Linked DNA regions of Saccharomyces cerevisiae S288C. The protein of the gene in region 2 interacts with the protein of the main gene of each other region in a biochemical or structural test. Each region holds a gene or a part of one and is shown on either strand. Other genes may lie near its edges. The genes, in order: MEX67, NPL3, RSP5 and HMT1.

Region 1 (8,152 bases), on a different chromosome or scaffold from region 2:
ACACACGTACATCGGAATATTATAGAGAACAAATGTCCTTCATTAAAAACTTGTTATTTGGAGGTGTTAAAACAAGTGAGGATCCAACCGGGCTCACAGGTAACGGGGCCTCAAACACAAACGATTCTAATAAAGGTAGTGAACCGGTAGTAGCGGGTAATTTCTTTCCTAGGACGCTTTCCAAATTTAACGGCCACGACGATGAAAAAATATTTATTGCTATTAGGGGCAAAGTATACGACTGCACAAGAGGGAGGCAGTTTTACGGTCCAAGCGGGCCATACACTAACTTTGCAGGCCATGATGCGTCGCGTGGTCTTGCATTGAACTCCTTCGATCTGGACGTTATTAAAGATTGGGATCAGCCTATCGATCCCTTAGATGATCTGACAAAAGAACAGATTGACGCACTGGATGAGTGGCAAGAGCATTTTGAGAATAAGTACCCATGCATTGGTACTCTGATTCCGGAGCCTGGCGTGAACGTATGACGATTGAGCTCCGCACATTATTTATTAATAGCAAACACCAAGGAAAGGGAAAAAGGAAGGGGCGTGGTGGACGATGATATATGTATACATATACATATCTATATTTTGAAAAAATCTTCTATATAACGGTTGTATAGAAATAATTACTTATTTATGAATTAGTACAAAATATACAAAGCATGCTGCTGTTCGGAACGTGACGAAAACAGTAGCTTAAACTGTATATTTTTTGTGATACTGTGCGGCTGAAACAGGGAACAATATCATTAGAACTGCACAAATGCTTCTCTAGGGATGCCATTCATGCTACTCTGAAAACCCTTTATGGCAACTTCATAGTTCCAGTTACTTTGCTCGGCCAACATAAACGTGTATTCTGCATTCAATTTCGTTTCCAAATGTAGTTTATTCAGCAGCTCGAGTTGTACGGGATTTAGCCGCGACTGGACATCTGGAGGTAGTTGCAAAGTGGGAGCCATGACCATGGCTCCTTGGGGTGCGCCGGGAATGCTCATCCCTCCTGGTACCACTGAAGGTTGTGGCTGCGGTGGTGTCGTTATATTTGGGTTCATGCTTGCGACCTGTGGTAGGACCGAGGCCTGTTGCTGTGGAGGCTGTGCTATTGCAATAGATGCAGTTTTCCAAGCGCCTGTGGAATACGCTCTTACAGTTAACAGATCAGATGCGATTATGACACTATTATTCATTGGAACAATTACCCAGGTTCTATCAAAGGATTTTTTGGATAACTTATTATTTGATGTGGAGTTGTAACCATGATTGTATCTTCTATTCTTTTGATAGTTATTTTTCCCCGTTTTTTTATTGGATTCCAGTTCAGGCTTGCCAGTCTCTTCAAAAAATCCGTGCAACGTAATAACGAACCCATTTATTTGAGGATAACTAATTGTTTCCATTGAGTATTCATTGGGTTGTTCTTGTAAATGGTGCTTTGTTTTCGGCAAAGTCTTGAATATACTATTAATGGACTCTTGCCCGATTGACAATCTCTGCTGGATAGATTTTTCACTGGACACTTTGGATATATTACGTGAGGACGACATGTAATAACCAAATGCTGGAGTTTGGTCCGAATCTGTTACCGTAGATGGAGGAATAGTAGAATCCACGGAAACAGAAAACTGGGATTGGGGCGAATACAAATTTAACAGTTGTTCTCTATTATTATCCCATAGATTCAAAAAGTTAGTTGCAAAGTCTGTAGATGATTGCCCTAATGCATCGTTTTCGAAAAAAAACTGTTGAATCTTCATCGGTAATGAGTAAACGGTTTGCAATTTTTGTTCGTCTCTCACAATCACGTTATCTAGTACAACCAATTTCGGAAATAATCTTAACATTTCAGTGCGATACAACTTATCGGTGGTTATCGGGTTATTTGTCATCAAAAGCTCTCTTAGATCTTTGAATTTGTTCTTCCAAACTTCTAGCGATCTAAATCTAAAAATCTGATTGTTGGCCAGACAGAGGTTTTTCAAATTAGGAAATGTTTGAGCCAATGTGGAAATTGCTGAGATGTCCTTAAGTTGGTTGTCAGCAAGATTGACACTTTCCACTATCAAACTTTTTTCTGTAGAAGCCAGTTTCATCATTGCTGGAAACATCTTAGACTGGGTGGAGATGGAACTAAAGACGCCCTTTTGAATTAGCTCGGGATCTGAATGTAAAGCGCCCAAATTTAGTAATTTTGTTTGTGGGTCATACCTCTTAAGGAGCACCCCCCTCAAGAACGAAATGGTGTCTGAAGTTCCCGCAGAGGCCCCATTGTTATCTAAAAGTTCGAACTTTAAATTACTGCCTGCAAACCGGACACCGTTCCATTTCATTAACGATTCTGCTTCTGCCTTTGAGTTGACATATCCAATAACTAAAGGTCCTTCCACATGAGCGTCATAAACAGCTACTCGAGCGTTGCGGCTTATAAAATTAATCAAATCGTTCATGGTTGCATTCTGCCAGTTCCTCACGCTAATCTTTATTCTATTTTGTTGCATCTGCTGTTGAGCCATCATATTGATATTTCCAACATTGTGAAATCCGCTCATTTTTTTTGCTGCTATTAGCGATGCAGAATTTTTAACGATTTATTTTACTCTTCCTTCTTAGAGTAAGTATGTCTTCAACAGTCTGTTACTATTTTTTTTTCTACATACTCAATTCAGCTCTTACTGAAATTTTCTTCTGGAAAAAAAAGGAAGACGGGTAATGATGATCTTATATAACAGTATAATCTGTAGGTATATTTATCGTTAGAATCCTCTACGAAAGGCAAGTGGGCATGGATTTCTAGCTTTTGAAGCCGCGTTTAAGTTTCTTCAGAATTAATATTCGTAGAAATTTTCTGTTCTTTGCTTCTTTTCTGAGCTTTGGTGGAATAAACTTGGTTCCATTCAACTTAAAGGAAGGAGGAAGTACTGTTCAAAATGACAGTTTTATACACATCTGCATCGCTGAAAAAAATGAAGTGCTTGGCATTCAACATGGGCATGAATTGCGTACGAACAGTATCTCATGCAAGAAGTGGAGGTGCAAAATTTGGAGGACGGAATGTATTTAATATATTTGACTCAAAAACTCCTGATTCAGTGCGTATAAAGGCCTTCAAAAACACAATATACCAGTCTGCCATGGGCAAAGGTAAGACCAAGTTTTCTGCAATGGAAATTAATCTCATAACAAGTCTAGTGCGCGGATATAAAGGAGAAGGTAAGAAGAACGCGATAAATCCTCTCCAAACTAACGTGCAAATTCTTAACAAATTATTACTAACACATCGATTAACAGACAAAGACATATTAGAAGGAATGAACCTGGCAGCCGGTCCTGTCAATGTTGCTATTCCTCGAGACATAACACCGCAGGAAGAAAAGAAGAAAGTTGAACTAAGAAATCGAAAAGCAGAGAATATGGATCTTCACCCGAGCAGGAAGATGCATATTAAGGAACTTCTACACTCTTTGAACTTAGATATGTGTAATGATGAGGAGGTTTATCAGAAAATATCACTTTACTTACAGAAAAATGAGGAAAGCAGGACTTCAGTGGGTGCCTCGCAACAAAACCACGTAGATATCGATATAAACTCCCTAAAACGCTATCTACAAAATATTGAAAAGAAGGCACGTCAAAAAAGTGCCATCGATAAACAAAAAAAGAATCAAGCTCGTATATATCAATGGAATACTCAATCCTTCTCCGAAATAGTACCCTTATCAGCTGGAAATATCTTATTCAAAAGGGAACCCAATCGCTTATGGAAACGTTTACAAAATGGAATAAGTGTATTTTTAGGTTCAAACGGAGGAGGAAAAAAGAGTAAAACTACTAAAAAAGTACTTCAAGGGAATAACATATTGTTACACTCATTAGAAAACAATAAGGATATGACCCTGTCAAACAACTTTGATCACAGTGTCTTTAACATCAATTTTACGGACTTATTTGGCGTTATTAATGCATCTGGGTCCCCACCAGATAGAGTTTTGAACGAAATTAATGAGATCGAATTAAAAGGTTGGAAATGTGTGGGGAACTTATACGATAATAATAAAATTGTAGTTTTTCAAAGTAGCAATCCACTCTTAGAGGATACGAAGATTCCTCAAAAGTCTTTCACTAATTCAAAGAGATTCCTTATTTCACTCTCAGCATTGCTGGCCTCCTTTTTTGCATATTATAGATACCGTCTATCTCAACGTCAAGAATCAAAGAAATGATTTTTTTCTTTCTTGTATATAACAACGTTATACATAGAAACAAATAACTACTCATCATTTTGCGAGACATATCTGTGTCTAGATTACCAATCATTTAGAGATATTAATGCTTCTTCCCTTTGAACAGATTGATTATCTCTCAAGTATCTTTCTGCTTTGACACGAGAGTAAAATACTGGACAGTCATATGAATTGCATTTACTAGCTATATGGTCATTTTCGATGCCTGCATCGGAAGTGTAACGATAACTGCACGTCCTGCACACGGTCTTTAGTGTTTGGTATTCTTTTTGTCTCTTTAATTTCTTTATGAGAAATGATAAGGTTGTGGTGCTTCTTTTCTCTAAACAGTCATCACATAACTGAAGTGAACATATTTTAGTCAATTCTTCACCACAATTACAACATGTTGCAGAAGTTCCTACTCTTGTTATGTTTTCCACTTTTGTAGTAGTTGTGCTCGCCCTTTTGGATTTTACTATTTCCTGAGCCCAGTTGCCAACATTTATACCAATCAAATTGAACAATCTATCAAGAGGAGGTATCAGAATTTTGTTTATATAATACTCCGAATCTAACTCTAAATTCTCACCTTCTAAGAACTCTTCTGGTGATACGCATCTTTCCCGAAGCAGTTGTCCTTGCTTTCCTTTAACAACAAGGTAAGGTATACGCTCCTTGTATTGGGGTTCTGCTCTATGGTCTTCATTTATTCTTCTTTTTACAACCACGGCACCTGCAGGGGCTGTCTTTTCGCTTTTATACGCTCCTAATTTAACTTCTTTTGCAAAACAAAAATCTTGGGCAGATACCTTTCCTATTTGAATCTTAAAAAATTCATTTTGAAGATACTTTTTTATTTTTGACAGGTCTTTGGTTTGAAAAAGTAATCGAATACATTTTTCAATAATCTTCTGCTGGGCTGGGATACCATCCCTTCTAACAGTTTCAATACCCTTAGCATCAAAAATAGGAAGGGTCTGCGAAGGACTTTCATAGGAAAATCCTACGTACCTTTTTTTGCTAATTAATATGGAGGGATGGTATACTTTTTCAAACTTCAAAAAGATTGGTTTTGGATTGTTTTGAGTAACTCTTTCTGCCATAGCATGTCCTATAGAAAAAGCCTCAATAGCAGTTTTTCCAGGTAGATATACAAATAAACTATCTGTGTCTCCATAGACAACTTTGGCGTTCCAAGTTTCATCTTTCTCAATAATATCTATTGCTTTCTCCAATGTTTCTCTGCCTGTTTGTACAATGCTATCAGCTAAATCAGAGCATGGCATTCGTCCAGAAAATGAAGCTGATGTATAACCGTAGGTGACATTCGCCAATAATTTTAGTGCTAACTGTTTGTTATTCAAAAGCCTTTTTAGGGTAGTGTTGTCATCACCTATTTCGTTCATTGTTTTCTTTATCATCACTCTGACATCAAGGATATCTGTTAACATTTTGGATAACGTTGATTTTCTAACAGAGGTCTTGGCATAAACAACACCATTTGGAGCGATAGTTACATCATTTTTTAATAAAGCTAAAATGTTTCTTGGTAATGAAAACTTAGATACTCCAAGGTTATTTTCCGTTAAGTTTATTTCTCGCACTCTTCCTATCATAGTCGAATAGCAATAGTTGTATCCAATCATAATGGATGGATACAATGATTGGAAATCCAGCACAATTAAAGGACTTTTGTAGAAAGCAGATTCTGGCTCCATAACCAAAGGCACACATTCAAGTGCTTTTTGCTTACGAACATCCTTTTTGCCTGGAGAAAGAAGGATAAAACTTTCGGACTTGCATATTCGGATTAAAAAAGACTCAACTTTAAATTGTGATCCTCTGTAATATACAGAATGGAAATCTATTCCTATCAATCTTGCCTGTTCGATATTTCGAGCAATGTAATCCTGCTTTCTTAATAGTTGTATATTTATCTGAGCTCTTGATAACCAATAATTTAACACAGTCTTTAATTCGGTTGTGCTCTTTTTAGCGTTCCACATATTAGTTAATGACTCAAATGAAAAGTGAGGTAATCGTTTATGGAGGATATTGAACGCAGCACTTTCAATAGTATATTGCGTTAAATTTACGTCGGACCTCAACGCTCTCCATATATTAATCATATGTCTTCCGGTAATCATAATTCCTGAGGAATGGGCATATCCCCAAGTATCTGACAACTTCGTCTTAATTTGGCATTTGACTCTGGCAAGTTCCCTGACAATGTCAAATTGATGTATTTTTTGACACCTTTCAATTATATAACCCCACGAAAAATTATGTATTTCGAAACCGGAAAGAATATCAGGATCAAGAAGTAATACCAAATCAGTTAGAGCCTCAAACATTTCAAATTCACTTTCATAGAACATCACGGGAATTTCGTTAATACAATGTTGAATTTTAGTAGGAAATGTACTATCCTCAGAAGCTTTGTGGACTATCATAATCCCTTCGTAAGCGATATCCAAATCTAAAGGGAAAGTTTCTTCTTCAAGACACCATATAATCATGGAAACTTCATCTATTGCAGGGTCTGGAATTTTATCACTTCTCGTGTTTGCATGAATCTCAAGTGTCAGATGAGTAAGAGAATCGTGAACGCTACTTTTTTTTCTTTTTTGTTTTCCAGAAACGTCACTAGCAAATTTGTATAAAAACTTACTATGAGGGGTGTGCATGCTTATCTGAGACTCAGTTTTTTTGTTTCCCATCGAGGGTACTTTATTGTACCATTTTTGAACAGCATCATACGTAGGTGGTTTTAACGCATATTTCCAGGAGGAAAACATGTCGAAAGTTGGCTTGTTATAAACTGATACGGTCTCTCCCCCAAATTGGACGGGTATTCTCGTTGATACATGTGTCGAGCTTATTTCAAACCTCTTACCTGCGTACGCGTAAGGTTTATTTTCTAGATCAACTGGATTCGAAAAGAAAGGGTCCTTATAGTCTATTTTTGGGAATCCCTCGTCTTCCAATTTATTCAGAATATCTTGATAACCGAAAGGAGGCTCACCATAAACAAAGGCTCTTTTTCCATAGCGTAATCCCGCAGCCATAACCTTCTTTCTTTTCCGAGACAGCAACGATGTTTTATTAGCAGAAACAGATGATCTAAGTTTTCGTTTACTTGCCATATTTTGCGTCATAGCACAATCCATTGAAAAATTTATCGTATTGTGATATTTTGTTTGATGATCTAATAGTATAGTAGAATCTTTCGGAGACGCAATGCTTTCCGGTAACCATGAATAAGACCGAGACTTTATATTGCTTCCTTTTACACCTTCGTTCTCATTATCAACACCACATATCTCGTATTCGGTGAACGATGCATTAACTTGGTCGTCGTTCTTTTTATCTTGCATACTATTATTGTTTATTTCAATCTGTGGAAGCCTTGGCCACAATTGCGGTAATGCTTCATAGGGCGTATTTATGGCTGAGAATTTTTGATTCTTATCTATAAAGTTCTCAAAATTTGGTATTTGACCATCAAAAGTACTTGTTTTATGTTGTGCTTTCTTATAAAACGCTTCGAACTCTCCAGAAGATTGCCATTGATGACCACTCACATGGCGCTTTGTTTCTGGTGGTTCTTTATATTCCTTCAAGGACAACTCCTCTCGTTGCATGGTAAGTTCATTTATCATGTCCCTAGCAGAGGATACATATGGTTTGACAGGTATGTCAGAAATATCTCCCAGTTTTTCCAAAAAGTCGTGATGTATATCTCTATGCTGTAACTTTTCTCTATTTTTGATGAATTGCGGTAGTATATCTATCTCAATCAATCCATTTCCAACCCGTGGAAAATCCCTTCTACTGAGTACGTTACACTTGAAGTCACAAAATCGATCTAGTAACAACTGAAGATCATCATTAATTGTCAGCTTATCTATGTCCAGTATA
Region 2 (7,715 bases):
TTATCTAGATTCTGTAAAATTGTCAACCTTTTGAATGAATCTATGGTAATATAAGGTGATAACAAATCTTGCGAGCCCTCCGTTAATCCCAATAGTTGAAAAATATCTGTCGCAAAACGGTACATCATAGGTTCTAAATAATCTTCGCTAATGACTGAATTTGGCTTCAACGGCATTTTATTTATTATTATAACCCCCCATTGAGGAACTAGATAACTATTCCAATCTAATGTGGTTATTTCGTCTGAAATCCGAGTGCCATTAATGAACGCCAGACCATCGGGACTTGAAGAAGCACTAGGAAAGACTATGGCTAAATTCAGTGCAGAATCTTCTGGGTAATAGGCCATTGAAGAAAGTTCAGAAAGATCAATAGTATGAGAGAGATCAAACCACGTAACGCTTGTACATGATCCATTTAATGAATGCAAATTCAAATCATTATGATAAACAATGGATGAATCTACTGTAAAATTTACCAGTGGTGATAAGAACTTCCTAAAAGGTGAAAAGTAGTCAGTTAATGTAGGCTCAATTTCCCATGCAACAGGATTCCCATCACCTGACAATAAAGTTACACTTAAATGAATGTTTGGATCATAAGATATTGCGACATCGTTGTTTGTAGAAACGCCTTCACACGTTTTATTCAAATGCGTCCATTCCAATTGGAAAGTGTGCTCTACCAATGTTTGAGCAACAAAAAACGGTAGATCATTACTTAAAACGGCAGCATCGTCGTAATATACTAGTGTTTCTTTGGTGTCGTAAGCTGATGAGTAACCAATAAATTCGTCTAACTTCAAAGTAACGACATGAAACTGGTTGCCTTCACTTTCCATCTGCTCAATAGTCTCATTATATGGAAGAACTTGTAAAGACCAAGGGACCCGTTGCTCCTGAGAATTCAATAAATGGTTAACTTGTACTTGGATAGCGTCATGAACGTCAGGAAATCTGTAAGTATCTGACTTAACATACACCGGTATTACGAGATGAATATCTTGGAATTTGTTATTTTGAAGTGACTCAATGTAATTTATTGGTAGTGATGCTCTATAAACTGTAGTTAGCTTGTACCACAGTGGAACACCTAAAAAGAGATAAATGGCAACAAAGCAAAAACCAACCCATTTTCTTAGATTTGCATTGGACATTATTCTGGCGTGTAATCCTTATCAAAGAGCGGCTCTTTTATCGTTATTTATCCCTTATTAATATTAATGCACACGTACACACTTCAATTAGTACACGAGTTCCCTTTTAAACTTTGTATCTCTGTTATTAAGCTCCACGTAAGGACATCTTTCATTATTTATAACTTCTGGATTACACATCATTTAATACGTAACACAGATTTAACAGGCCATAATAGTACTTATTAGTTTCTTCAACTTAACTTTATAGGAGTTCAAATTCTTTGAAATTAGCCTGACCCAAACTAACAACTATATTTGTAGCTTTTTGCATACTCAAAGGACTAAGATGATAGGATATTGTATATATTCAATTGCACCTCTTAACTGGTACTTTATTTCTTGTGAATGTTCGATATCTTACCGCTTATTCTCTCATTCCATATGAGAACTCTCGTATAGAAAGGGAGACCTTTTTTCACTTGAAAAATGACAATAAGATATCCAAAATAGATCGGCTTGGGACAAAAAAATGGTTAAATTACAAGATTTCTGTAGTTTCTCAACTTTCTAGTATTAATTGGGGGAGGGGAAACTGGTCTACTGCTAGATCAAGTTTCCACTGAGTTATCTCACAAGATAACAAAAAACGGGGTTCATTATCAGTATAGTCAATTATATTATCCTGCCCGTATGTTGAAGAGGAGATTCTCGTTAGAAACTTTAAGTAAAACTTATTTTTGTTAATTTTGCAGCACATTCCATTCAATAAAAGATAGTTTGGTGCAGGGAAATAAAAAAAATTGAAAGACACATAAGAATCTAGAGGTAGTAGTAGTAGTATTACACGAAAGAAGGTCTAATTAAAATCCAATACAGAAGTTTTAACGACTCATCAATTTGGAAATGAAATTCCGTTGTAAAAAGGATGTTAAATGTTATCATGGGATTATTCTATCTACTGGAGTGAAGTCGGGACTCGCAATAAACAATTCTGTTTTCAATCATATACTTTGGGATCTTCTAACACTAAACTTATTAATAAACAAAAACTATACTTAATAAAAGGGAGGGGAGGGAATGGGGAGGAAGTTCTTCAAAAAAAAAACTTTTTCAACATTTAATACGATGTTTTCCTTTTTCATTTGTTCTCAGTCTCATATTTAAGTTTTAAAACAATTCATATCTTTTGTTAATTTCTCCTTTTTTTTTCTCAACTATATAAATGGCTTACCTGGTTGGTGATCTTTCACGTGGAGCATCTCTGGTTCTGTATGCATCTCTTGGAGGACCATAATCGCCTCTTGGACCATCATAACCACCTCTTGAACCACCGTAGCTACCTCTTGGAGGACCGTAATCATTTCTTGGACCACCATAGCCACCTCTGGAATAACCACCTCTTGGACTATCGTAACCACCTCTAGGACTATCGTAACCACCTCTGGAGCCACCATATCCGCCTCTGGAGTAGCCACCGTAGCCACCTCTGGAATAGCCACCGTAACCACCTCTTGGACCACCAAATCCACCTCTGGGGCCACCGAAGCCGCCTCTGGAGAAACCGCCTCTGAAGCCACCTCTGAAGCCGCCTCTGAAGCCGCCGCGACCTCTGAAGCCACCTCTATTTGATCTTCTGATTGGTGGAGGATTGTCATCTCTTTCAACAGTAATGACAGAACCTCTGAATTCAATATTGTTTAATCTCTCCAAAGCTTCGACCAAGATTTCTTCACTAGGGAATTCTAGAGCACCGGTACCATCAAAATCTCTGGTATTGACGCTAGAAAAAGTAGTTTCTAAACTATTTTCCCTGGCTAAATCTTTAAGATCTTGCCATGAACAACCTTCTGGTAAGTTTTTCATGGTGATACGGTATCTCTTGGCAGGCAATTTAGAGTAAACAACTTCCAAAGGTTGGTTAGCAAAACTCTTACCGTGAACTTCTTCAATGGCTTTGGCAGCGGATTCTGCTTCTTCAAATTCAACAAACGCGAAGCCGTTCAAGATCTTGACTTCCTTCATTGGTCCAAATGGACCAAAGATTTCATTCAACTCGGATTCTTGAACGTCCAATGGGAAAGGTCTAACAAACAATCTGGTGTTCGAGAGTTCTCCTTCTTGACGGTGGTGCATTGGTGGGCGACCGTGCATGTGTTCACCTGGAGGAGGAGGAGGATAATATGGTTGGGGTTCAGGTGGTTGGTGGTGCTGGTGGGCCTCTTGGTAGTCTTGGACACTGTGGGATTCTTCGCCTTCATAAATTGGAGCATTAGATGGTGGAGGAACGTCATTTTGTTCTTGTGGAGCTGGTGGTTCTTGTGGAGCAGATTCCTGTGGAGCAGATTCCTGTGGAACTTGTGGTTCTTGTGGAGCATCTGGAGCCTGTGGTGGTTCTTGGTGCTGTTCTTCGACTGGGGCATCGACAACAGATTCTGGTAGTTGCTCTACGTGAGTTTCTTGAGCTTCAGACATTATCCTTATGGTTTTAGCGTAATTGCTTAATTTTGATTCCTTCAAAAGTATATATATTTAGAAGAGAGGAAATTATTTTTCTCATGTCCTTTTTAAATCCCTTTGGGTGGCGAAAAAAAAGAATGTAAAAAATTTTGCCCTTCGTTTACAGTGATAAATATACGGAGGGGCTCTATGATAAAGGTAGTAGTAAATCATTGAATTGTTGAACAAGCATTGACAGATATGATAACAAGCAATTGTAATCAATAAGCCACCAATTAGAAGGCTACTCAAAAGAATAAAGTTACTATAAAATATACTGCGGTATATATGTTGCGGTTTCAGCGATTTGCGTCCTCGTATGCCCAAGCACAGGCCGTTAGAAAATATCCAGTTGGAGGTATATTCCATGGTTATGAAGTGAGAAGAATTCTACCGGTTCCGGAGCTGAGACTCACTGCGGTAGATTTGGTGCACTCCCAGACAGGAGCCGAGCATTTGCATATTGATAGAGACGACAAGAATAATGTGTTCAGCATTGCTTTTAAAACCAACCCTCCAGATTCCACTGGGGTCCCTCATATTCTAGAGCATACAACGTTGTGTGGGTCTGTTAAATATCCAGTTAGGGACCCTTTTTTCAAAATGCTAAATAAATCTCTAGCTAATTTCATGAACGCTATGACAGGTCCAGATTATACATTTTTTCCCTTTTCCACTACGAACCCTCAAGATTTCGCTAATTTAAGAGGTGTTTATTTAGACTCCACCTTGAATCCGCTACTTAAACAAGAAGATTTTGATCAGGAGGGTTGGAGGTTGGAGCATAAAAACATCACAGACCCGGAGAGTAACATTGTTTTCAAAGGTGTTGTCTATAACGAAATGAAAGGTCAAATATCAAATGCCAATTACTATTTCTGGAGTAAATTTCAACAGTCTATTTATCCTTCCCTGAATAACTCCGGCGGAGATCCTATGAAAATTACAGACTTGAGATACGGCGATCTCTTGGATTTCCATCACAAAAATTACCATCCCTCCAATGCAAAAACTTTCACGTACGGTAACTTGCCATTGGTGGATACGTTAAAGCAATTAAATGAGCAGTTCAGTGGTTACGGGAAGAGAGCTCGAAAGGATAAGTTGTTAATGCCTATTGATTTAAAAAAAGACATAGATGTCAAGTTACTGGGTCAAATAGATACTATGCTTCCACCGGAGAAGCAGACAAAAGCCTCAATGACGTGGATTTGTGGAGCGCCACAGGACACATATGATACCTTTTTGTTAAAAGTACTGGGGAATTTATTAATGGATGGCCATTCTTCTGTAATGTATCAAAAATTAATAGAATCAGGAATTGGTTTGGAGTTCTCCGTAAATTCAGGTGTTGAACCAACTACAGCAGTAAATTTGCTAACTGTTGGTATACAGGGCGTGAGTGATATTGAAATATTTAAAGACACTGTAAATAATATTTTTCAAAACCTGTTGGAAACAGAACATCCTTTTGACCGCAAGCGTATCGATGCCATAATTGAACAATTGGAATTATCTAAGAAGGATCAAAAGGCTGACTTTGGACTTCAATTACTCTATTCTATACTACCTGGTTGGACAAACAAAATCGATCCTTTTGAGAGCTTGTTGTTTGAGGACGTTTTGCAAAGATTTAGAGGTGACTTAGAAACGAAAGGTGATACTTTATTCCAAGATTTAATCCGTAAATATATCGTTCATAAACCTTGTTTCACGTTTTCCATTCAGGGATCTGAAGAGTTCTCTAAATCTTTGGATGATGAAGAACAAACAAGACTGAGAGAAAAAATTACTGCCTTGGATGAACAAGACAAGAAAAACATCTTTAAACGTGGTATACTGTTACAGGAGAAACAAAATGAAAAAGAAGATTTATCCTGTTTACCTACCTTACAAATAAAAGACATCCCAAGAGCTGGTGATAAATATTCAATCGAACAGAAGAATAATACAATGTCTAGGATTACTGATACCAATGGTATCACATATGTCAGAGGTAAACGTTTACTAAATGACATAATACCCTTTGAACTCTTCCCATACTTACCTTTATTTGCTGAATCGTTAACTAACCTAGGGACAACAACAGAATCCTTCAGTGAAATAGAAGATCAGATAAAATTACATACGGGTGGTATATCAACACATGTAGAGGTTACATCTGACCCTAACACCACAGAGCCTCGCCTGATTTTCGGGTTTGACGGATGGTCTTTAAATTCGAAGACCGACCACATTTTTGAATTCTGGTCTAAGATCTTACTAGAAACTGATTTCCATAAAAACAGCGATAAATTGAAAGTTCTTATCCGCTTATTAGCATCTTCAAACACATCTTCTGTAGCAGATGCCGGTCATGCATTTGCAAGGGGCTATTCTGCCGCACATTATAGATCAAGTGGAGCTATAAATGAGACCCTCAATGGTATTGAGCAACTACAATTTATAAATAGATTGCACAGCTTGTTAGACAATGAAGAAACTTTCCAAAGAGAAGTTGTCGACAAGCTAACTGAATTGCAAAAGTACATTGTTGATACCAATAACATGAATTTTTTTATCACCTCAGACTCTGATGTTCAAGCGAAAACAGTAGAAAGCCAAATTTCAAAATTCATGGAGAGATTACCTCATGGCAGCTGCTTGCCCAATGGACCAAAGACTTCAGATTATCCTCTTATTGGATCCAAATGTAAACATACTTTGATAAAATTTCCTTTCCAGGTCCATTACACATCCCAAGCTTTATTGGGTGTGCCGTATACACATAAGGATGGCTCTGCACTTCAAGTTATGTCAAATATGCTAACATTCAAACATTTGCACAGAGAAGTCAGAGAAAAGGGTGGTGCTTATGGTGGTGGTGCTTCTTATAGCGCCTTAGCGGGTATTTTCAGTTTCTATTCCTATAGGGATCCTCAGCCTTTGAAGAGTTTAGAAACCTTCAAGAATAGCGGGCGTTATATACTGAACGATGCCAAGTGGGGCGTCACAGACCTTGATGAAGCTAAATTGACAATATTTCAACAAGTAGACGCACCTAAAAGTCCCAAAGGAGAAGGCGTGACGTATTTCATGAGCGGTGTTACAGACGATATGAAACAAGCAAGAAGGGAACAACTCTTAGACGTATCTCTCCTGGACGTTCATAGAGTCGCCGAAAAATATCTACTAAACAAAGAAGGGGTGAGTACGGTCATTGGACCTGGAATCGAGGGGAAGACTGTTTCACCAAATTGGGAGGTGAAGGAACTGTAGATATATAATTTAATCCTGTAAATATACTGCTTCAAAGTTTCTTGCCGATCTATACTCATCGCTTGTAACGAAGTTAAAATTTTTTTCTTTCACTGAGTGTGGAAAGTGAAAAATTATCACGATGGCAAAAGAGAGGGAAGAGAAGCCCTAGTTACTCGCTGTATTGAAAGGATCAAAAGACCAAAGACCACCAGGAATAATGAGTGAAGTTGCACCAGAGGAGATCATAGAGAATGCAGATGGATCTAGATCTATCATTACATACAAGATTGAAGACGGTGTCAAGTATAAGATTACTCAGAAAGTAAAAGAGGTTAAAGTATTGGAAAAAGTCCATAAATCTGTTGCAGAAAGAAAAAACTGGCATAAATATGGCTCTGAAAAAGGGTCTCCAGCAGGTCCAAGTGCTGTTACAGCAAGATTGGGTGAAGAAGTAGAATTAAGATTGAGTAGGAACTGGAAACAAGCTGAAGAAGAAAGAATACAAAAAGAAAAGGCAAGTCTCACAAAGACCGGTCTACAATGTAGATTATGTGGTAACGACCATATGACCATGAACTGTCCATTCAAGACAATTTTAAGTGAACTTTCAGCATTAGAAGACCCAGCCACTAATGAAGGCGGTGTCGAGGCCGCCAGTGAAGAGAAGGCAGGCCAAGTTGGCGGAGCTGGTTCCATCCCAGGGCAGTATGTTCCACCTTCTCGTCGTGCTGGTGCAAGAGATCCTTCATCCGATGCTTACAGAGACTCTAGAGAACGTGATGATATGTGTACTTTGAAGATTATGCAAGTTAATGAAAATGCCGATGAAAATAGTTTGAG
Region 3 (9,008 bases), on a different chromosome or scaffold from region 2:
GGGATGATTTAGAATCGCTAGGTCACGTTTTTTTTTATTTCTTGAGGGGATCCTTGCCATGGCAAGGTTTGAAAGCACCAAACAACAAACTGAAGTATGAAAAGATTGGTATGACTAAACAGAAATTGAATCCTGATGATCTTTTATTGAATAATGCTATTCCTTATCAGTTTGCCACATATTTAAAATATGCACGTTCCTTGAAGTTCGACGAAGATCCGGATTATGACTATTTAATCTCGTTAATGGATGACGCTTTGAGATTAAACGACTTAAAGGATGATGGACACTATGACTGGATGGATTTGAATGGTGGTAAAGGCTGGAATATCAAGATTAATAGAAGAGCTAACTTGCATGGTTACGGAAATCCAAATCCAAGAGTCAATGGCAATACTGCAAGAAACAATGTGAATACGAATTCAAAGACACGAAATACAACGCCAGTTGCGACACCTAAGCAACAAGCTCAAAACAGTTATAACAAGGACAATTCGAAATCCAGAATTTCTTCGAACCCGCAGAGCTTTACTAAACAACAACACGTCTTGAAAAAAATCGAACCCAATAGTAAATATATTCCTGAAACACATTCAAATCTTCAACGGCCAATTAAAAGTCAAAGTCAAACGTACGACTCCATCAGTCATACACAAAATTCACCATTTGTACCATATTCAAGTTCTAAAGCTAACCCTAAAAGAAGTAATAATGAGCACAACTTACCAAACCACTACACAAACCTTGCAAATAAGAATATCAATTATCAAAGTCAACGAAATTACGAACAAGAAAATGATGCTTATTCTGATGACGAGAATGATACATTTTGTTCTAAAATATACAAATATTGTTGTTGCTGTTTTTGTTGCTGTTGATAAAGCGATTTTTATACTTTTCTCTTTTTCCTTTTTTTTTTTGATTGGCTGTTTCCTTATGCCGCTCTTTCCCAATTTATGACTTTCCAATAATGTATTATTTTGTTTCTCTTTCTCTCTGTTACCCTTTATTTTATCATCTACAATAATTGAATTCCGGAGAGGGTAAAGAAACAGGAAAAAGAAGAAAATGAGACATAGTCAGCATCGTAATCGTTTTCCTTCTGTATATTCCTTTATCAAAAGACTACACGCACATATATATTAATCCCGGTATGTTTTTGGTGTGCTAAATCTATCTTCAAGCACTATTATAGCATTTTTTTAAGAATATCCAAAATAATATGTAATTTATGATTAATCAAGGTTCAAGAATTGGAGAAACCGTGAGCGACTTCTTTGATACTTGGATGTAAGCTTTTATTTAGTTGCTTTTTCGTTTTCTTTTATTTACGCCCTTGTTTTGCGTGTATACTTTACTTTTCTAATTCACTTGAGAGCGGGACTATATATAAAAAAATGCACAATTACAAACTTGAGAATGAATGCATATCGTGAAGATTTTGATATTAAATTAAGAAGCCAAAAAAACGTAGGCAACCATAACAAATTTCGGCATTGAACTTGATTCTAAATGCTACATACAATTACGCGCGCTGTTTTGATATACACACACATATATATATATATACATTGTGTAAGAAAAATTCAAAGCTTAGTAAAACATACAGATCATGGAGAAAAAAAAAAAACCGAATACTTGTGTTACCAGAAGGATCCACTGACTGGACTTGGGTCACAATTTGAATTTTATTGATTTTCACCTTCATCAAGGAGGATGGTCGTTAGTAATAAAGGGCATTCTGAGTGACAGACAAAGAAATTATCTTCAAAGAAATGTTACTTTGATTCATTGATATGTTATTTGTTTTTATTTGAAAGCACTCAAGGAAACTAGACAACAGTAGTATCAATAGTAGATCCACTTAAATGCACATCATTTACAGAATACATCCTCTTTGTGAAGACGATATCCTCTTGGTCATCATTCAATCTACCTTCGCTAACAGTATTTGCTGAAGAACAATCCCAATTACCAGAATTTGAGAACATATCATCAGATGTTTCTGTCATACTATGGTCACTCTCATTGGATAATGATAACATAGAAGAATCAGATATTCCACTCTTCCCAGTACCATTACCATCGATTATTTTACCGGTATCGACATTGAATTGAACTTGACAAATTTGATGTAATCCCAGTTCACAAAAATTGTCAAGAGTTACTAAACTTCCATCGTTTGCCATATCAAGGAATAAAAATCCACATCCTTTTCCATTGGCCTTAGTGTCATTGCTCTTCAAGCAAATATTTTTATCACTCATACCACTCACAATAATGTTTCCACATTGGAAGACTTGCTTGGTTAATAGTAGTTCACTTTCACTATCTAGGCTAATTGAGTTAAATCCATGGACTAACTCACCATATTTCATGTTTTGTAGGTTTTGTAAATCCCAACAAATGACAAAGCCTTGGTCATCACTGCTATATAACGCGCCTGTGTTTTCGTTAAATTTTAGACTTTCAATGTATCCTTTCTTAGCATATAATTCACAAACTGGTTTACCGTCGCAGGATTGAATGTCCCAAATTTGAATTTTATCGTTCAAGCTCTGTGCAACGTGATGATTACTTATCCATACGCAATCCAAACTTGTGTTCTTTCTTTGCAAATGGTCTTTTCCACATCCTGCAGATATGCTATTATCTAAAATATCTGGAATATAGAGATTTGTTCTCAAATCAAGCAGCGAGATGCCATTTGGTCCAAATTTTGAGCCAACTAAGGCCAGTAAGAAGGGATCATGGAATTCATTAACGGCAAAAGAATTTATACCTGGATATGATTGCAAAAAAATAGGTGTTTTTATGCAATCAAGATTTGATTTCAAGTCATATATAAAGAGGGAGTCATTTAGAAGGGAAACAAAACCGGTCTTGTTCCATGGCGAAACCTTCAAAATAGGTGCTGTTTTTGGCGTTATTTCCAGAATCGGAATCGACGTTGATACGGTAGATTTTAGAAACTTGTTGTGGTTAAACCTTTTTATTATTTTAGCACATCCCTTATATGTTGAAGTTGCTATCAGATTGACTATACCGTCTTGATGACCTGTCAATATTAATTGGTTGTGGTTAGGATTTATTTGAGAGCTGGGGAAAATCTGTGGCGGAAAATCTACCATGGGCAATAAGCAGATACAAGTAATGGGTTTACCGGGAACAGTAATCGTCTGTAGTTCCTTCAGCTTTTTCTCAGCGGAAATTTCAAAAAGTTTCAAGTTGTCTTTCTCGTTCATTGTAGATACTAGAAGTATATTATCCACAATGGACATGTCTGAAGGTATGGATAACTCACTTTCATCAACACCGTACAGTTTCCAATAATCTGATTTTAATTTTTTAGTTGTATAATAGTCATTGAAGTTGTCTGATGCTTTTCGCAAAATCGGTGAATTCATTTTCGAAGTATTGTTTTGCCACGTTTTTTTGTATGTGGATAAAGTCATCATCGATTGTAAAATCCTCTTTTTATCTGATCTCTTCTTTATATTAATAGCAGGCTGACGAAAAATATTTGTTGGTTCGTAGTATTTGGTATCTTGCATAATATTAATACGTGTCACTCTCACTATCACACCTACAATCAAATTTTTTAGCAAACACAGATTAAAATTTGGAAGTCATGCAAGAAGAAGAAGCCAAAAGATAGTTTGAGGAAAGCTTGGGAGAGATATTTCTACCTTTTTATATATTGTAAAACGTTTACGCACTTATTTATGTAAACCAGTAAGCACCCACCCAGCTATGTCGTCATGACTACAAATTGGTTATGAACCAAGCCTTATTCAGTAAACCAGCAAATTTAACATCATGCCGGCATTGAATCATACATAGAAATCAACACAATAGCTTTGAGAACTGAGAATGTAGCTTTGACGCTGCTATTATTATTTGGTATTGTTTACCTTTTAATGTTTATTTGTTTAGAAAACAGACTGCTGGTTTGTTTACATTTGAGAGCAGAAAAAAAAAATTGCTGGCGCAGACCAGCCGCACAGTCACGTGACAGTATACGATCATGTGATCTTACGTACATAATGACATTATACGAGAAAGGGGAAAAAACAAAAATTTAGTGGAAATTTTTGGTAAAGACCAAATTGCAGTGATCTTCATGGTGAAAGGTAATATTTTTTGCTGGCGGGGGAGGGGGCTTCTATCTCGACAATTAAAAGACATACGCTTAACCATTTTTAGGGTACTCGAGTATCGCATCTGCTAATTGATAAAAGGACTTTGTTGTGTTTTGAGGCTGTTTTCCATTTTCTTCGTTAGAGCTACAAGAGTCGACTTTTTCGTTAAACAAAAACGATTATAAGATAATAAGCGCTGTCAGTTTTTTCCACAGTTTTGGACTTGTTACTATAATTCGTGAAGCACATTTTGCAAGTGAGTCAAAATTTCAGTTCAGTCCTTCTTTAGAAGAGTGAGTGCGTAGCAAATAAAACAGCAGGAAATAATTGCTTGTTTTTGTGTGTAAGTACCTTTTAGTTGGAACTACCGAATATAGTGTTATTCGACTTTCACTTTCATAAGCCACAGCTTTTTCTTAGTGCGTTTTTAGTTCGATAAATTTACCAAAAACTATTTTCCCCTTTTCTTATTCCCTTTTCTTTGTTAGCTTGGGTATTATATTTAAAGTAACAGAAAGGAAAGAAAAAAGAAAAAAAATGCCTTCATCCATATCCGTCAAGTTAGTGGCTGCAGAGTCATTATATAAGAGGGACGTATTCCGTTCCCCGGATCCGTTTGCTGTTCTGACTATTGATGGTTACCAAACCAAATCTACATCCGCAGCGAAGAAAACGTTAAATCCCTACTGGAATGAGACTTTCAAATTCGACGATATCAATGAAAATTCTATTTTAACCATCCAAGTCTTTGATCAAAAGAAATTTAAAAAGAAGGATCAAGGGTTTCTTGGCGTGGTTAACGTCCGCGTGGGTGATGTTTTGGGCCATTTGGATGAAGATACTGCTACATCGAGTGGTAGACCTCGCGAAGAAACTATTACTCGTGATTTAAAAAAATCTAATGACGGAATGGCCGTCAGCGGTAGGTTGATTGTTGTTTTATCAAAACTACCTTCGTCAAGTCCGCATTCACAAGCTCCTTCTGGCCATACTGCATCTTCTAGTACGAATACAAGTTCAACTACTCGAACAAATGGTCATTCTACTTCCTCCACCCGTAATCATTCAACGTCTCATCCTTCCAGAGGCACCGCGCAAGCAGTAGAATCAACTCTTCAAAGCGGTACAACAGCTGCTACTAATACGGCAACAACCAGTCACCGTTCCACCAATTCCACATCCAGTGCTACCAGACAATACTCTTCGTTTGAAGACCAGTATGGTCGTTTACCCCCTGGTTGGGAGAGAAGGACCGATAACTTTGGTCGTACATATTACGTCGATCATAACACAAGGACTACCACTTGGAAACGTCCAACGCTCGATCAAACAGAAGCCGAACGTGGCAACCAATTAAATGCAAATACTGAGTTAGAGAGAAGGCAGCATAGGGGAAGAACTTTACCTGGTGGATCATCAGATAATTCCTCTGTAACAGTTCAAGTGGGAGGTGGTTCCAATATACCTCCTGTTAATGGTGCAGCAGCAGCAGCGTTTGCAGCTACAGGTGGTACCACATCTGGTTTAGGCGAATTACCTTCAGGCTGGGAGCAGCGATTTACTCCAGAAGGAAGAGCTTATTTCGTTGACCATAATACTAGAACAACCACTTGGGTGGATCCAAGGAGACAACAGTATATACGTACTTATGGCCCTACAAATACCACCATTCAGCAACAACCGGTCTCCCAATTAGGTCCTTTGCCTTCTGGATGGGAAATGAGATTGACCAATACGGCACGTGTATATTTCGTTGACCACAATACAAAAACAACGACCTGGGATGACCCAAGACTTCCATCATCGCTAGACCAAAATGTTCCACAATACAAGCGTGACTTCAGACGTAAGGTTATTTATTTCAGGTCCCAGCCCGCTCTTAGAATATTGCCGGGACAATGTCATATTAAAGTACGTAGAAAGAACATTTTTGAGGATGCTTATCAAGAAATTATGAGACAAACCCCAGAAGATTTAAAGAAAAGATTAATGATCAAGTTTGATGGTGAGGAAGGTTTAGATTACGGTGGTGTTTCCAGAGAATTTTTCTTTTTATTATCACATGAGATGTTTAATCCATTTTATTGTTTGTTTGAATATTCTGCGTATGACAACTATACCATTCAAATAAATCCTAACAGTGGCATCAACCCCGAACATTTGAACTATTTCAAATTCATTGGTAGAGTTGTGGGTCTTGGTGTTTTCCATAGAAGATTTTTGGATGCATTCTTTGTAGGTGCACTTTACAAAATGATGCTACGTAAAAAAGTCGTATTGCAAGATATGGAAGGTGTTGACGCAGAGGTGTATAACTCATTAAACTGGATGCTTGAGAATAGTATAGATGGTGTCTTGGATCTGACGTTCAGTGCCGACGATGAAAGATTCGGTGAAGTTGTAACAGTGGATTTGAAGCCAGATGGGAGAAATATTGAAGTTACTGATGGTAATAAGAAAGAATATGTCGAATTATATACCCAATGGAGAATTGTTGATAGAGTTCAAGAACAATTTAAGGCATTCATGGATGGTTTTAACGAATTAATCCCCGAAGACTTAGTAACTGTGTTTGATGAGCGTGAACTAGAACTATTGATCGGTGGTATTGCGGAAATTGACATTGAAGATTGGAAGAAACACACTGATTATCGTGGTTACCAAGAGTCAGACGAGGTCATTCAATGGTTTTGGAAGTGTGTCAGTGAATGGGATAATGAACAAAGAGCCCGTTTATTGCAGTTCACCACTGGTACTTCTCGTATACCTGTCAACGGGTTTAAAGATTTGCAAGGCTCTGATGGTCCAAGAAGATTCACTATTGAAAAAGCTGGTGAAGTACAACAATTGCCAAAATCTCACACATGTTTTAACAGAGTTGATTTGCCACAATACGTTGATTATGACAGCATGAAACAGAAGCTAACATTGGCCGTGGAAGAAACCATAGGGTTTGGTCAAGAATGATTATTCCGCACCAATTTTTTTTTTATTTATGGTGTCCGTTTTCCCAACATTCTTTCTGCCTCAATCATCTTGTTTTATATTTCAGCTAACAATAGTAAAGAGAAAACTCTTTTTTGTTAATTTTATCTGAGTTGCTCATGAAATGATTAATCATTGTTGTTTTTACAGCAACATGGAAAGCAGCAAAGAAAATGCAGGAAAACGTGAAGTGCTTTTTTTGATGATTACGCAAAGTTCTTTTCAAGTTCGCCATAAGAGGAGGTTTTCCTTTTCAAAAGGAGCATGATACCAATAATTTATATTGCCTTACGCCTCTTATTTTTTATATCCTCTTTTTAGATTTTATTAATTTTTTTTTTTATTTATATACATATAATGTGCCCTGCTTTTTACAACCATACGTTTTTTGTTTTTTAATTTTCTTGCATTTTAAAACTGAATAGTGACCTGGGTATTATACTACAGTTGAAATTGCTCTCGTGAGGTACATACTTGAAACGAGCGTACTAGGCAATCCCTCTCTTGCCAGTCACCTACACACGGAGAGTATCGGTTATTTGTCGTGAGGAAAAAAGAACCGGATAATAAATTCTTGATTTGTTATATTGTACAGAGAATGACGAGAAGTAAAAAGAGAAACCCGAACAGGACAGAGCGTACATTTTTTATATACCTGTTCTTTTGTGCTTGTAGACGTATATCGTATTATTAAATTAAAAGTAAACCTAATTTGAACCATCGAGATAAAAAAAAAAAAAACGGAGCACTTTTTTGCTCATACAAGCAAAACCGCATTGACACAGCCGTCTCTGTCTGGTTCGTTTGTGACCTGAGCATACTTACCCCAGACAACTTTACCACCAGCAGTAACCATCCCCAATTCCGAAACGTTAACTTCAATAATGGTACCTTTAGTCAAAACACCTAACTGAGTGTACATTGGAGATTGTGGATTCTTCTTAACTGCCAAAATTGGCAAGAAGACAGTTACACCTAATTCCGGATGAGTGACGTTTGCCTTTTTCTGTCTCAACGCACTTGGTCTGATGATTCTTTCCATTTTAACTGGTCTTCTAGTGAAACCTTCACCCACAAAAGTGTGTTTCGTTATCATTCTCTTCCATGACTTGGATCTAGATTTACCTGTTTTAATAACTTTGAACATTTCTTCTTCACTTATACCACGAACCTTTGGTAACGGAACTGAAAACTTATCAGCTTTTTCCAACCTCTTTTGTTTGATCGATGAAGAAATAGCTTTGGCTGTGTTATTTTGTTCTCTGTCCAATAGATATGTCGGCAAAGCATCACCATCGGTATCCAATGGTTTGGATGAACCCTTGACCTTAGATTGTTCATGTGCCTTAATCTTCTTTCTCATTGATACCTTTTCAGCATATCTCTTCTTAGCAAATTGCTTACCCTTCCAACCAGTCAACTTCTGGGCCCGTTCAGAAATCTTATGAGACTCTCTTGCCTCTCTCTTACGTTTCCTTTCTTCGTGATCTAATCTTTTACCATGCTGTTTGATGTGACGCTCGATATAATCGTTTTGAGGCATTGTTTCGTTGTATATATCAGTATTGATACGAGACTGACTACTGACTAAAGATAAAAACGCCAGATACGAAAACCAAGTTCTTCTCTAACTGATACCTAATCCATTCAATTGTCTTAAAAGTGCATCTCATCGCTGTCCGGAAAATTTTTCATCGGATTGTTACTAGAACCGTTGCCGACGACATAAAATTTTTTACGCCTTTCCTGCAAGGTTGAAGAAAAGAAACCGATGAGCTATACCATTCTAAAGTGTCAAAAGAGATGAAGAAATTAAAATTGTCAACTAACACACAAATCCAAGAATGTCTGAACTTAATGCATTATTAAAAGATATCAACG
Region 4 (7,723 bases), on a different chromosome or scaffold from region 2:
CGTGGCTGCTCTTGGTGCCTGCATCTCGACTTTGGGAGAAGATGAGACCGATGTTTGTCTCTGACTCAGACTCGAACAGGAATTCTCAGTTTGACAACAACAACAGCGGGTCTGTGACAAACGAAGATGTCGATACGTTCTCGCACGTGTTGGATGATCCTCAACCACGGATTCCAGCCCAACAGCAGAAGCAAAAAATCATATCCGTGGCTACCTTCAAATATGTGGCTAAGCTAACAGTGCTGGCTCTCATAATGATTGTCGCTGATTTGACTTATAACATGGCTTTGTCATTGTCACCGGCATTTGATGTTGCTTTGATGCAAAATACTGCCATTTTCGAAATTGTCACTTTACTATATGGTGTTTGTGGAATCTCCAGGAAGAACTACGTTTTCCGTAATTTCCTCATCATGATGAACGCGGTCATTGGAATTTTGATCATCTCATACACGAAGGCTACCTGTGACATGCTTGCCGGAAAGCTGTCCGTCAACCCTAACACGGGTGAACTTTCTGACCCATTCTTGTTTGATAGGTTGAAAGGTGCTCTGATTTGCGGCCTTGGTGCTTTGATTATGGGTCCTTTTGCCGTGTTATGGAACCGTTGGTTTTGCAGTAACATTTCCAAGAACGAAAATTCTGCTGTAGTCTTGGTTAAGCAGAGCACCCACATGGCCCTAATCGGTATTATTGGCATGGTAATACTTTTGCCATTTATTCCTAAATTTCCCTCCCGTGAGTCTGTGGAATCCATTTCGTTGTTCTATAATGACAAGAGCTTTTGGTTCTCTCTACTAGGCTCGATTATCTTTGGTTCCTTGCCGAGCTTGATTTCGATATTAGAGTTGAATCGCAAGGCCCCTGCTGAGTATTTGACGACGTGCAACCTGGGAGCTATTATCTTTATGGGGTTAGCTGAGTGGGTTTGCGAACCTACGCAAACCACAATTGTGAGATGGGAAGTCATAGGATACATAATGCTAACGGTAAGTTTGTTGGTCCTATCAGTAACACTCGGGGAAGGTAAATACCACCATTAGTACGGACAACATACTTTATATGACTGATGATGATGTAACAAGCATATGCAATTATTTGGTTTCCCTAAATAAAAAATCCCAATCAATATCTTGATTATTTTCAAGACAATTACTAGGATGTTCTTCTATTTTTTTATTTTTATTTGTATATTGTATATTCTAAAAAGAAGAAGCCATTTGGTGGGCTTTATTATAAATATTAAGAGGCATACCTCCGCCTATCCGCCTATCCTCGTCATGAACAATCAATTAAAAGCGCTTATAAAGCGATATACAAGTACAGTACGCGCGATTTCTACAATACAAAAAATATACATCAAGAAAAAAAATGTTTCCAAAAATTATCTAAATGCATCGAAGGCATTAGGAGAAGTAGCTGTGAATACAACACCAAGATTCATAAAATGAACACACGGTTCCTTCCGCTTGGAAAATAATGCGACAAAAATACCGTATTGATCATCAAAGTAGTTTTAATAGATACCTAAAAAAACCATCTTGAAAAATCTCAAATTACGTTCTTGATCTTGTGTCATTGTTCAGTTACTGATCGCCCGCAAACCTAACCGATGCTTAAGAAAGGACACCCTTGCCTTTTGGCTTATTTACCTACTCGTATTTTTCTCTGTCACATCGTTCGATGTACGGGGCACATTTGGAAATTTCATCAGTAAGTTCAGTGAATAGATTTTTTATTTTACCTTTTTGTAGTGGGATTTATTCTTTTAAAGGCAAAAATCTACTGAAAAAACGGAAAAAACTAGAATAAACCATTTCTATATATACTCATGTTCCCTGACGTTCTTTTTCCTTTTTCTTTTTCCAGAGTTAACGATAAGATAGACATAAAGTGACAGCGCTTAGCACCGTCTGTTTGCAAATCTAACTTAAACTCCTTTTTTTCTGTCACCTTAAACAGTGTCAGAAAAAATACTAGGTATAAGAAAACGAGAAAAAAATAAACAGCGAACTCGTGCAAACTTTGCTAATAAACAATTAGCTGTAACATTTGTGTGTGGGTGTGGTGATGGTAGGCTTCCCATGGTAATTAAAAGGTTAGGTCGAGAAGAGGATCGGTACGAAGAAGGAATAACAGGAATAAGTTCAAAAACACTGCTTTAGCAACTAAATGCAATAGCAGTGTTTAAGAATTTACGGTTTGCATTTTCTAAACTCAGATTTTAGCCATCTATAAGTAGAAACACAATAAAAAACCACAAATTGCGCACACACAAGCATCTACACTGACACCAGCATACTCGAAATTCTTTGGAAAAGAAAAGAGCAGCAGGCTATCAACTGAAAGATCAATCCGAAATCCGACACTATCTCTTCACCATCGAGTGCCTACCAAATTTCTGAGGCCTGCATGATGGAAAACTCAAACGTAGAATGTACAAAAAACACGGACTGAAAAAAAAAAAAATACGATTAAGCAAACGCAACAGCCATTGACATTTTCATAGGGTACCTATCTTCCTCTCTAGTTTTATTCTCAAACCAGAAAAATCACACTAAAAGCTACAAAGAAGGTCTTTTAATTGAGAACCTTGAGATCTATATGTCACCATTGCTAAAGAGGAAGTTTTTTCGCGAGTTCGCGCGCTGAAAACTTTTCTCCCATTTCCTTTTTTTTTTATTTTTTTGGCGTTTAGATATAAAAGCTTTAGCAGGATTGCTCTTCCTTTTCACCACACATATAGTGATATAAAATTTATTTATAAACTAACACAAGTAAATATACAACACCCAGTATTTTTGGCTGCCCGTGTCTTTCTCTACCACGGGTAGTCTCTCTAAGCTGGCAGATAGATGTTTATTGAACCGCTTAAGTTCCGTTGTGAAGTTTTCGTCTTTCAGGCTGTATTTCATAACACTACTGTAGTTCACACATACACATGCGTAATGCCCCAATCTTGATAAACAGCACATACAAGTAACAGCAAGTCTGCTTAGCAGCCAGATAGAGCTCTTATAGATGCCACCAGAACCAGCGCCGGGTAAATTGTAAATACTAGAAGGGGCCGCAACTTATAAGAAAGAAGAAATGACTAATTTGCATGATTAGATATTTTAAAGATACTCTACCTAGACCAGTAGTACACTTCACGGATCTGCACTGAAAATGACTAAACAAGCTGAGGAGACCCAAAAGCCAATCATATTTGCTCCTGAGACGTATCAATATGATAAATTTACTTTGAATGAAAAACAACTTACTGACGACCCAATCGATCTTTTCACCAAATGGTTCAACGAAGCCAAGGAAGACCCAAGGGAAACGTTGCCAGAAGCAATTACTTTTTCATCCGCGGAACTACCTAGTGGGAGGGTGTCGTCCAGGATTCTTCTTTTTAAGGAGCTCGACCATAGAGGTTTTACTATTTATTCTAACTGGGGAACCTCTAGAAAGGCTCATGATATTGCTACCAACCCGAATGCGGCAATCGTATTCTTTTGGAAGGATCTGCAAAGGCAGGTGAGAGTTGAAGGTATCACAGAGCATGTTAACAGAGAAACTTCTGAAAGATACTTTAAGACGAGACCTCGTGGATCCAAGATCGGTGCATGGGCTTCCCGCCAATCGGATGTTATCAAGAACAGAGAAGAACTAGACGAGTTGACCCAAAAAAACACCGAACGTTTCAAGGATGCTGAAGACATCCCATGTCCAGATTATTGGGGTGGCTTGAGAATCGTTCCACTGGAAATTGAGTTCTGGCAAGGTAGACCCTCGAGATTGCATGATAGATTCGTTTACAGAAGAAAAACAGAAAACGATCCATGGAAAGTCGTTAGACTAGCCCCATGAGGGACTGTTAATGAAAAATTCAATGTAGGATCTATTTAACACCATATAATTCTCTCATTTTCTATTTTATACTGTATAATGAATCTTTTTATACCGCCTATAGGGTAATATGTCAGAATATACCGAGATGAAAAAAAAGAAAAAGGAATTCCGAAATTTGGAAATGGCGGGAAAATTTTTTCACAAAGGGAAATTATATGTTATAAAAATAGTTGAAGAGATGAGCTGCCTACTGCTCACCTTGCCGTTTCCAAAAAAGAGTTAGAACCGACAAATTCATCCAAAGAAAATAATGAGCAAGACAGCCGTGAAAGATTCTGCTACAGAAAAAACCAAGCTAAGTGAAAGCGAACAGCACTACTTCAATTCGTACGATCACTATGGTATTCACGAAGAGATGCTTCAAGATACTGTTCGTACCTTATCTTACAGAAACGCAATTATCCAAAATAAGGATCTTTTTAAGGACAAGATTGTTTTAGACGTCGGTTGCGGTACCGGTATTTTATCCATGTTTGCCGCTAAACACGGTGCGAAGCATGTTATCGGTGTTGATATGTCAAGCATTATTGAGATGGCGAAGGAATTGGTAGAGTTGAACGGATTCAGCGACAAGATCACCTTGCTAAGAGGCAAGTTGGAGGACGTTCATTTACCCTTTCCTAAAGTTGACATCATAATTTCTGAATGGATGGGTTACTTTCTACTATACGAGTCCATGATGGACACCGTTCTTTACGCTAGAGACCACTATTTGGTAGAAGGCGGTCTGATCTTTCCCGACAAGTGCTCCATTCATTTGGCCGGTTTGGAAGACTCTCAGTATAAAGACGAGAAGTTGAACTACTGGCAAGACGTTTACGGGTTTGATTATTCGCCATTTGTTCCGTTGGTCTTACACGAGCCCATCGTCGACACCGTGGAAAGAAACAATGTCAACACCACCTCAGACAAATTGATCGAATTTGATTTAAATACAGTAAAAATATCAGATCTAGCGTTTAAGAGTAACTTTAAATTGACGGCCAAGAGACAAGATATGATTAATGGTATAGTCACCTGGTTCGACATTGTTTTCCCTGCACCAAAGGGTAAGAGACCTGTTGAGTTCTCCACTGGTCCTCATGCTCCATACACTCACTGGAAGCAAACAATATTTTATTTCCCTGATGATCTAGATGCTGAAACTGGTGACACCATTGAAGGTGAATTGGTTTGCTCTCCAAACGAGAAGAATAACAGAGATCTAAATATCAAAATTTCTTACAAGTTCGAATCGAATGGCATCGACGGTAATTCAAGAAGCAGAAAAAACGAAGGTTCTTATTTAATGCATTAAGACTTTTGTTTGCTGGAGAAAGAAAAAAATTTGAAAAGCAAATAAACAAACTTGTTCATATTATTGACGCGAATATGTGTACTTTGTTACCCTTTTTTGTTGGTCGTGTACCAAAATTAGTTTAGATATATGACTTTGCATGTCCTTGTACTATAGTTTTTAAAAGAAAAAATCTACTTATCTATCCTTCATTAGGATGCTATTTTTCACCTTGTTATCATGAATATTAGTTAAAGAAGCAACAGCAACAACCCAATTCTGAATCATCCATCAATTTCCAACCTATGTCGGCAAACTTTTTCAATATCTTTTTGTTTTCTTCCTCCGATGGCGCAACGTTTGAGGCGTTACTAGCTGCACATTTTCCGGAATACATGCTCTTCATTACCGATTCGTAGCATCCGGTACTACTTGTAGCACTTACATAGTAACGCTTAGCACGGTCATGTGCATTCTTCCTAAAAGGTTCTAGGGTATTAAATAGTGCGGTTATTTGCACCAATTCGTTCAGCGCAGTTGACAACGTCATAATTCTGTCATTTATTCCCTTGGCCATATTTCCATTACGGATGTATAAACTTATTAATGTGGTAGGTATGGGTCCTATCAAACTAATGATATTATAGCATTCTTCCACCATTGGCAGCATGAAAATAGAAACAGTTCCCATCAAGTCTTTGGTTGTGCAACGTGTATTTTCTTCACTGGCAAGATTTGACGTAATACTTTGTGTTGGCGACATTAATTCTTCTTCACTGTCCTGAGCAAAATAGGCGTTCGGAAGGGGCTTTGAATCCAAATCAACAGAGTTTTCTGCGTTCATATTAGTAATTGAATCTAATATGCCTGATACCAGAGTGATCATTGAGCAGACTAGCTCTCCGATATTTTTCATTTCAGCATCCGAATTGCAGCAATTTTCTAGAATATGGTCATTTTTCTGTTCAATATTTAGTAATTTTCTGATTAAAATTTCCTTTTTCTTCAAAAGGGTCTCAAATTTGCCAGCTATATTATCATGTTCCCCTTTTTCAACAGCGAACTCTCCGTAATCCGTTTGATTTGTGAACAGCAAGTGGTGAGGTACATTTACTTGCAATGATTTTCTGTTAAGGACAAAATATGTTATAAATTCACCAAGTTTAAGGTTTCGTAGAATGTTATCCAAAGCTACGGGAGCTTTTTCGACGACTTGGTTATGACCTGTTTTATCGCTAAAATATGTTTCAATGGCGCTACCAAAATTTAGATTAATTAATTTTGGTTGACCTAGCCGAAAGCTTTGTAGCGTATCCAGAATGTTTAAAAGGATGTACAACCTTTTGAACAACACAGCATAATCCAGTATCTCGTCACCACTTTCCTCGTTTGAATTTAATAATAGCATTGGGGACGTATTTTGAAAAGGTAGAAATAACTTATGAGCTTGAAATTCGTTAAAAACCCCAACAGAGGGGCCTAGCAAAAGCGAGCTTTCCTCACCGGCCAATATTAAGATAAAATTTAACACTATTATTGTCGAAAAGTAAATGAACTTTATTCTTGAAGGAATAACACTGGAATTTTGTTTTAATACGGGTTTTATAGTTATTAAACTTTGGAAGCAGTCGGCTATACATTTGTTGAAATTCTGAATGTAATACAGACCTTTTTGAAAATCGCATAAACTGTCACGAGACCATGATTTTGTTGATTTCGATGACCTTCTTTGTTTTATTTTGCAAAATACCAATACCTCTAGCGCGGTTTTAAAACACTGGATAATTTCATTGTTAATTTGTCTGATCTCATCAATCACGTTTGGCTTTTCAGGATCAAGCATGTCAGTAAATTTACTTTTGTTAATTGGTATTACAGGAAAATTAATATGGAAAAAGTTATAGTAGATGCCTAAAACCTTGTAGAACGAGGTTGCATCAAACTGTCTGTAGGTTCCAAGCATAAGTGGTTTAGCACTGGCTTCCTGATTCAAGGAAACATTTTTTTCAGTGCTAGGATGAGAAGGATTCGACGATCGATATACAGGCTTCCAAGTCGAATTTTTGTCCCATTTGTCACTTCTACCATCTGTGCCTAATTTTTTGTTCGGAAATCCCGCAGTTAACGAGTTTAATCGTTCCTTTTCAATGGAACGTACACTATTGGGAGTAAGCATGCATTGGTTTTTACCTTGCGTATTACCTTCTGAAGTTGTAGCCTCACTTGTATAGGAAAGGCTGCTTAGCCTGGATCTCCCAGAGATAAAAGGGTTAATGTACGGGCTAGCGCGCTGTTCTTGAATTGGAAGAGATTGTGAACCCTGACGACGAACGTTAGATGAACATGCGCCCATTTCCTCCACGGGCGTTATCATTCCTTTCGCTACAATATCCTTCCCCTCTTGCCTGACATTTAAGTTTTCATCTAAGCGATAGTTTCCCCCAAATTCGGTAGATATCGATGAATCGCTGCCTAATATTGCCAGAGAGCTCCTACGCTTGATGTCATCGTACGGCACCTTTACAAATTGTTGCGATTGAGCAGTTATCG

What was found.
Region 1: the proteins of NPL3 (region 2) and MEX67 form a complex in vitro, tested with the Saccharomyces cerevisiae proteins (2 studies listed by BioGRID).
Region 3: the proteins of NPL3 (region 2) and RSP5 form a complex in vitro, tested with the Saccharomyces cerevisiae proteins (2 studies listed by BioGRID, with this or other methods).
Region 4: of the proteins of NPL3 (region 2) and HMT1, one has a biochemical effect on the other in vitro, tested with the Saccharomyces cerevisiae proteins (12 studies listed by BioGRID, with this or other methods).

What each region holds. Positions count from the first base shown.
Region 1 is NC_001148.4:228,282-236,433, forward strand, and holds MEX67 (Mex67p), read right to left. Parts: upstream 2,558-8,152; coding exon 758-2,557; downstream 1-757. Other genes in the region: DAP1 (Dap1p), read left to right, coding at 33-491; MRX4 (Mrx4p), read left to right, coding at 2,936-4,228; REV3 (DNA-directed DNA polymerase), read right to left, coding at 4,312-8,152. UniProt on the Saccharomyces cerevisiae protein: Involved in the export of mRNA from the nucleus to the cytoplasm.
Region 2 is NC_001136.10:1,324,679-1,332,393, reverse strand, and holds NPL3 (mRNA-binding protein NPL3), read right to left. Parts: upstream 3,612-7,715; coding exon 2,367-3,611; downstream 1-2,366. Other genes in the region: GPI-anchor transamidase GPI17, read right to left, coding at 1-1,157; CYM1 (pitrilysin family metalloprotease), read left to right, coding at 3,924-6,893; TIF35 (translation initiation factor eIF3 core subunit g), read left to right, coding at 7,093-7,715. UniProt on the Saccharomyces cerevisiae protein: Involved in mRNA processing and export. Required for efficient splicing of a large set of pre-mRNAs by efficient co-transcriptional recruitment of the splicing machinery. Remains associated with the mRNP during early steps of translation elongation.
Region 3 is NC_001137.3:405,510-414,517, forward strand, and holds RSP5 (NEDD4 family E3 ubiquitin-protein ligase), read left to right. Parts: upstream 1-4,679; coding exon 4,680-7,109; downstream 7,110-9,008. Other genes in the region: casein kinase YCK3, read left to right, coding at 1-878; DSE1 (Dse1p), read right to left, coding at 1,833-3,554; rRNA-processing protein NSA2, read right to left, coding at 7,885-8,670; small subunit rRNA maturation protein LCP5, read left to right, coding at 8,972-9,008. UniProt on the Saccharomyces cerevisiae protein: E3 ubiquitin-protein ligase which accepts ubiquitin from an E2 ubiquitin-conjugating enzyme in the form of a thioester and then directly transfers the ubiquitin to targeted substrates.
Region 4 is NC_001134.8:302,401-310,123, reverse strand, and holds HMT1 (protein-arginine omega-N methyltransferase HMT1), read left to right. Parts: upstream 1-4,147; coding exon 4,148-5,194; downstream 5,195-7,723. Other genes in the region: CSG2 (mannosylinositol phosphorylceramide synthase regulatory subunit), read left to right, coding at 1-1,043; pyridoxamine-phosphate oxidase PDX3, read left to right, coding at 3,169-3,855; EDS1 (Eds1p), read right to left, coding at 5,421-7,723. UniProt on the Saccharomyces cerevisiae protein: S-adenosyl-L-methionine-dependent protein-arginine N-methyltransferase that catalyzes both the mono- and asymmetric (type I) dimethylation of the guanidino nitrogens of arginine residues in a variety of RNA-binding proteins such as heterogeneous nuclear ribonucleoproteins (hnRNPs) and small nuclear ribonucleoproteins (snRNPs).